Caenorhabditis elegans: one gene and its partner. The protein of the gene in region 1 interacts with the protein of each later gene in a biochemical or structural test. Each region holds a gene or a part of one and is shown in the gene's direction. Other genes may lie near its edges.

Evidence for each region.
Region 2: the proteins of npr-37 (region 1) and nlp-17 interact in a test that uses a peptide from one of them, tested with the Caenorhabditis elegans proteins (one large-scale study listed by BioGRID).

Annotation. Positions count from the first base shown.
Region 1 is NC_003282.8:479,319-483,248, reverse strand, and holds the start of npr-37 (G_PROTEIN_RECEP_F1_2 domain-containing protein), read left to right. Parts: upstream 1-2,081; 5' UTR 2,082-2,095; coding exon 2,096-2,167; intron 2,168-3,930.
Region 2 is NC_003282.8:13,504,564-13,507,866, reverse strand, and holds nlp-17 (Neuropeptide-Like Protein), read left to right. Parts: upstream 1-2,124; 5' UTR 2,125-2,156; coding exon 2,157-2,236; intron 2,237-2,295; coding exon 2,296-2,467; 3' UTR 2,468-2,597; downstream 2,598-3,303. Other genes in the region: seld-1 (putative selenide, water dikinase), read right to left, coding at 1-313, 912-1,165, 1,608-1,788.

The DNA of each region.
Region 1 (3,930 bases):
AAAAATAAAATGTTTAAATTTTTTAAATAAAAACTAGATCAATAACTTAACTTTGGAAATACTTGAAAAATTAGAATAAAAAAATGTTGTTTTTTAAAGGTAAACACGAAAGTTCCCCCTCCATGCCTACAAGGCGACCTACGCCTGCCGAACGGTAGGAAGGCAGGAAGGTAGGCAAATTGGAGACCTGTCTGTGTTTGCCCTTTTAGCATATTGAAAGCTGAACAACTTGCTTTAAAATCAAAAGAAAGGTGAACTGCCTGCCTTGTACCTGCACACCTACCTACGCCTACCTACTAAAATTAATGTGAACTATTTAAAAAATATTTTGAATGTTGTTATTCACCTAATTTAAGCTTATACAAGTTAATTGAAACGCAGCTCAAAACCATTACAGTTCACCAAAAAATTATTTTAAAAAAATAGGCGGTAGGCAGGTATGAAGGCACAAAGCAGGAAGCTTATTTTTCAGCATTAGAAAAAGTTTTAAAATCACTGATTGCCCATCATGCAGGCACAAACATAAATGTCTACCAACCTTCAAACTACGCCAAGTTGTAGGCAGGTAAACAGGCACGTAGGCACTTACTCGGCATTTACCTGCAGCATTTAAAGCAAATTCGTGAAGAATGTTTTCTGTTGTGATTAAATTTGAATTTAACTTTTTAAAATCAATTTTTGATAGCTAAAAGTTTTTATTCTCCGATCATTTAATCAAAATTTCGAACTACTCGAAAAGCTTTTCTGAAATACTGACCCCTCGAGAATTTACTTGATACTTGATACTTGATAGAATGTTCAGTATTTTGGGTTCTGAAGAAAAATGGTATCAATGAAAAACTGAATTTCATCAATTATGATTTAACACTATCGAATACAGAACTGACTGCTTAAACCCATGAGAATGGCTACGCGTAAGTAGAAAAAACGGTTTGCAATATTAATATTGAAATTAATAAAATATTCTTGCGCGACCATCATGGCTCAACAGGTAAGAGATCAGCAAACCGGGAAATACGATCGGAGTTCAACACACAGGTGAATCTTGGGCTAAACTTGGGCAAGACTTGGGCTGAGTGAAAGTGGGCTACGCAGCGGTTGACTTTTTCCTTTTATGACGCATCGCCCAAGTTTGGCCCAAGTTTGGCCAGCTTCTAATCCAAGTTAATTTTTCTTGAGCAAAACTTGGATTATAAGCTATGAAACATGGACAAAAAGCTGGCGGCGAATGCCGAGTAGGTCTACTATAGTGGTGTGCGGCAAATTTGCCGAATTTGCCAAACTTGGTACATTGGTGACCTACAGTCTTTCTGAATTACTCTGTGTCCCTCCCTGTTTTTGTGTGTCAGTGCCTTGACGCTGGGCGGTAGAGCAAAGGTGGGAAACCTGTAGGTCGATATGTACCAAGTAACAGACATAGATCACACAATAGATGGACATCTTTATACCACACAGCTTGTAGTCTATAGTACAATCTATATCTATCACTTGGTACATTGCAACCTACAGTCCTTCCGCTTATCTCCGCTTCTCGGCGGCTGGGACTAGAATTACACACAGAAAGACGGAGCGATGCATAGCAAAGCAAAAAAACTGTAGGTTGTTATGTATCAAATTAGAAATATGGATCGGACTATAGATAAGCAACAGGGGTGTGCGGCAAATTTGCCGATTTTGCCGGAAATTTTGAGATTTGCCGCGCACCCTTGGTCTACTACCCTATTTTTCAAAGAATAAAAAACGTTCTCTAAACTTTGCACGAACTGCGTTCGAGAATTTCCTTATTCATTTTTCTACCATTTTTCCTAGTTCAGAACACCCTTAAACTGATAAACTTGCACTTTTTCCAACAATCTATTTATCCAATTGTCTCCATGTGTGCATGACTTTGATTTGTTTTCCTATCCTTCCCCATCACTTTTTTGCTCTCAATCAACTTTTTGCTTCCGTTATTTCATTTTTCAATTTTCTTCACATCCCCTCACCATCTTCCATATTTTTTGCATTTTATATGCCTATCGAAATGGTTTTTTTCTAGTTTAATTGCTTATTTTTAAGTCTAAAAATTCATATTTTTGCAGCAGATCCACAAAAAATGAGGGACCGATTCTCGATAGGTCAAGCCATTGCAAATGCAATTGCCAAACGACAAATGCAAACTAGTGAGGTGAGATGATTTGTTTTTCAGATTTTTATCAGTCGTTATCAAAGTTAAAAACTGATTATTTATGCTCCTCAAACCTCTAAATTTCACAGTTTTTAACTTTAATTCACTGTTGTTTTCACTGTATTTGTCAGTCAAAACAAATCACTCGTGAGTTAGTACTAGCTGAAGTCTTTCAGCTGGCCTCGCTTGGGCATTTTTTTTCAAATTGTAGATAGACTGTAATAAATTTATAAAATTTTTCTAAAGTTGTATGATTCTTTCAACTTTGCAAAAAAAATTTAAAAAGTTAAAAACAAATTGAATTCCCGCTAAGGTGAAATTTTTTCTATTTCCGAAATATAATTAGTGTTTGAAAATTGTCAAAAATGTCCGTCAATCGGCAACTTCGGAAATTGCCAAAATTGCCGATTGCCGAAAGTTTCCAAAACCGGCAATTGCCGAAATTGCCGATTGCCGAAAGTTTCCAAAACCGGCAATTTCCGGATGTGCCGATTTCCGCGCACCCAATCAGCCACTACGTGATAAATGGTGAATTTTTTGAAACAAATTCTGAGTTTTTTCATTGAGAAAATTAAATCCGACTTTTTTTCTAATTGTGCATATGTTTTTTTCTAAGTGAACGATTGATTTTGGAATTTCTTCGTATATTTCTGCTCAAACATCTCCTTTTTTATTTAAATGTGTCCCAGTTTTCCATAAACTCATTTCAAAATTGTATAGGCCTGCCTCCTTGCCTGCCTGCCTTCAAAACATTTTACCTTTATTTTTTGAAATTTGAACCTGCTCCGGGCACCTTCTCCGGCCGTAGGAAAAAGTGGCAGGCAACATTTTTGTGACTACTTGGAAGGTCTATTTAAAACCCTATATTTTCTTGTACCTGACAAAGTTTATTCTTTGAATTTTTGTTGAAAAAAAAAACAGAAAACAAGGTGGAACTAGTTGAACAAAAACTGAAAATCACCCTCTCCTGACAGCTGACAAAGTAACACATCAAAACACTAAAAATAAAATCTTGGAAGTTTTCATTCAAGTTCAGTCTGTACTCTACGCGTTCTTTTTCTTTTCACTTTTTCAGACATGTGATTGACATCTTCTGTCTGTTCTTGTCACATTATATGCAAAAGGGAATGCATTTCCTGGTTTCTTTTCGAAAATTTGTTTTGTTGCAAAAGTTAATTTTTTTTTTGAGTTTTCCATAGTTCTTCAAATAGGATATAACACTTTAGGATCTTTAAAAAAATCCCATCATGAAAAAATTTTATTTAAAGAAATAATTTTTTTTTCGGACCCCTTTCTCAAGAGGTCCTTTTTTCCAAAATTTGCTAGACAGGAGATATAACGGGGCTCTCTTGTATAAACCTTCATATCGGAAATCTCCTTTGCCCTCCGAAAAGGTGACGCCAACCGTCAATTTAGAGCTACCCCGGATAAATGAGCTAAAACTCTGGAAATTATATCATAAGTCTGCAGCCGACAAAACCCAGTGTAGCGCAGACGCTTGCAGCAGTCAGTGGGGTGGCGAAGTAGAGGTGACGGGCGGTGGCACTCGCGCGCCCCGGATTTGTCGGCTGCAGCGGTGTGGTTTGAGTAGTTGAATAACTCGGGTCATTGGATTAAATTTTAGAAGTGTTTGCTATACTTTAAATAGTATGGATGGAGCTTTTCAGAAGTGTGAAAATAGCAAGCACTTCTTCTGCTCCCCGTGCGTAAATTTTGGAAAAGGGATCCCTTGCAAAGGGGAGGGGGAATGACATAGTTTTGAT
Region 2 (3,303 bases), about 13 Mb from region 1:
GAAGCTTCGCCGCATTTCTATTCAAACGGCTCATTTGCTCGCAGACTTGTTTGAATGCTTTTTCGATTTTTGGAATTTCTAGATTGAGCTCTTCAATTTTTCCGTTCTTCTTTTTGATCCATTCGTACGAGTTCACGGCAACCTGGCCTCCAATTGGTTTAGTCAATATCAGAACATCTCCAGGAACTGCTTGATCTACTTTTATGATTTCTGATTCATGAGCAACTGAAGTGGCAACTCCGCCGAGCAGAAGCCAAGGACAACGGACTGTTTGGCCACCACGGATCTTTGTGCCTGCTTCGTCAGCTGCATCCTGGAATTTTTGAAGTTTTTCGTATTTGTTTTTGGCAGAAAATTTAATGCTCGAAACGTTTGAATTTAGGATTTTGTCGCCAAATACCCACGGGTTTCTGCACGGCCCGGCAAAGGGTACATCAGTGTAAACGCGCTCTACTGATAATTGCAGTTTAGCCAGGTTTGGGCGCGTTTTAAGGAAAAAAGCTTTGGTCCAAAAAATTTTGAATTTAATTTCGAACATTTTTTATATGCATCACAAAAAAACTGGACCAGTCGTTTTTGAGAAAAACGCGCCCAAACGTCCAGGTGTACGGTAGACAAATTGCGTACAGGTACCACTTCTCGGGCCGTGTTCTGGCTCGACCCCTCGGTGTATTTTGTGCAAACACCGTCACGCGCAAATGCATACACTATTTCAACGCGCTGCGTGAAAATTCCTCTTGCGATTTCAAATATTTTTTCCCGCCCTTTTGCAAAATTTTGGAGAGGGGGGTCTAGCCAGATACACGTGAATACCTAACGAGACCCAACTTTTTGGGGGTGGGATGTTTTGATCTATTTCAAATCGCGAATAATTTTTCTGCGTCTCCATAACAATCTCAACTGAAAACTACCTTGAATCCCTGAATAAACAACGGAACGACAATATCTCTCTGCTTCTCGTTCAAATCAATAGCCACTGCGAGCAGCATAAGCATATTATCACACTCGGAAACTCCCATTGCATACAAATCAGACAATACATTGGCACATGTTACACGTCCCATAATATATGGATCATCAATGAGTGGATAGAAGAAATCAGTGGTTTGTACGAGTCGAAGACCCGGATGACGGAGTGGAATTACGCAACTATCGAGACCAATGTCTGGAAGGGAATTTGAGTTTAAAAAAAAAATTATTTAAATAGAATAGAAGGCATTTCTGAATATCAGATATTATGGAAACACAAAATTCTGAGAATGCGTACTGCACAATATATTCGACGCGCAAAATATCTCGTAGCGGAAACTACATTAACTATTTAAATGACTACTGTAGCGCTTGTGTGTCGATTTACGGGCATTCATTCTAAAAATCGAGCCCGTGAATCGACACACAAGCGCTACAGTAGTTCATTTAAATAGTTACTGTAGTTTTCGCTACGAGATATTTTGTGCGTCAAATATGTTGTGCAGTACGCATTCTTGGAATTTTATGTTCCCGTAATAAATGTACATTCTGTTTTGATTTTCAAAGTTCAAAACGAAATTTGAATTTTTTCTGTTGGATGAGCTTCCTGTTTTGAGCAATTTTTCAATTAAACTCACCAACTTCATCATTATTAATGACTAAATCAGTTTTAAAAGTTTGGAGCAATTGAAGGAGCACATTCCTTGGAACTTTACACCCACAACCCTTCATTCCAGTCAACTTTGTGAGCACAAAATCTTCATCAAGTCCATTGCTCACCGGATCGAATCCCTCCAAAATTCTCTCGATTCGATTCATCTAAAATATATTTTCAAAACGATTTTCTGTGCAAAATTCCAAAAGGTGAACGATGAACGGAAAAAAAAACTTTGATGTTTCAAAAGTTTTCCTAATCTATATGTTTTTTCGCAGCCTATTATCTCAAAAACTTATTATTTATTTATTTATCTAGGTTATTACGGGAATGGATGAGGGGGTGACGTTTTTGAGTTTTTGAGTCGCACTTAATTAGAAAAGCTATATAATAACTCTAGATATAATTACTCGTCTCACTTAATAGCCTTGATAGCTCGCTATAATTGAAATATAAATAGTGAGATGAGCCATTTAAATCGACATTTCGAGACTTTTTTCTCGCGAAAAAGTCAGGCTTTTTCACAGAAAATATGTTCAGCAAGTCAATTCTCTTCTGCCTTTTGGTTTTGGTATTCAATGTTTTTGGAGCTAACTTTGAAAATGATCAGGAGTAAGTTTTACTTTTTTACGTGAAACTCGAGAATCTCTAATTTCCATTCTTTTTTTTAGTGTAATGCGTCCCCCATTCCAAGCCCTTAAACGTGGTAGTTTGTCAAACATGATGAGAATCGGAAAGCGACAAATGTCTCGACAACAGGAATACGTACAATTTCCAAATGAAGGTGTTGTGCCGTGTGAGAGCTGTAATTTGGGAACACTTATGAGAATTGGACGGAGATAAATGATAACGATTATTTGAATTTGAATTTGTTTAAATTTGCATTTCGTTTCGTTTTTCTCTCTCTTATAAACTGGTCCATTCTCTCGTTATTCATTATTTCTCAATCGTTTGATGAATGAATTCATTTGTTAAATTCTATTTTTAAGGGTGAATGATATTGCAGAATTTCTCACAGATAGCACGTGGTGCCAGGCTGCCTTGATCTACAAAAAATGCGGGAATTTTTCTTAGCCGTGCGACAACAGTTCGAAACTCTGCGTCTTGTTTCCCGCATTTTTTTTAGATCACACCGTAATGGGACACTCGGGGGAAAACGTTTTATTTAATCCCCGAAAAAAAAAATCATTTCTACAGTATTCAGAAATGTTGTTTTTTCTCATTTTTCGGGAATTTTTCCCATAAATTTCGAGCTTGATAATTGCCAAATTTCCAAAAATTTTCATTTGCCACACCACGTGGTGCCAGAGTGCCTTATTTCGCTTTGATCTACGTTGATCTACAAAAAATGCGGGAGAAGAGACGCAGAGTTCTCAACTGATTTCGCATGGTTAAGAAAGTGCTGACGTCACATTTTTTGGCAAAAAATTCCCGCATTTTTTGTAGATCAAACCGTAATGGGACAACCCGATTTTTTCGGTGGTTTCTTTTTTGAAAAATCGGAAAATTGAATTCTAAAAAGGGAATTTTTTGTTTATTTTAAAATAAAAATCTTTACCAAAAATGTGGTGGTTTTAATGAGAAAGAACCTGACCGGAAGCTATAAATGGTTATTTATAAATTTAAAAAAATTACGCTAACGGAATTGCACACCTGGAATCACTCCGGCCAGCGGAGCG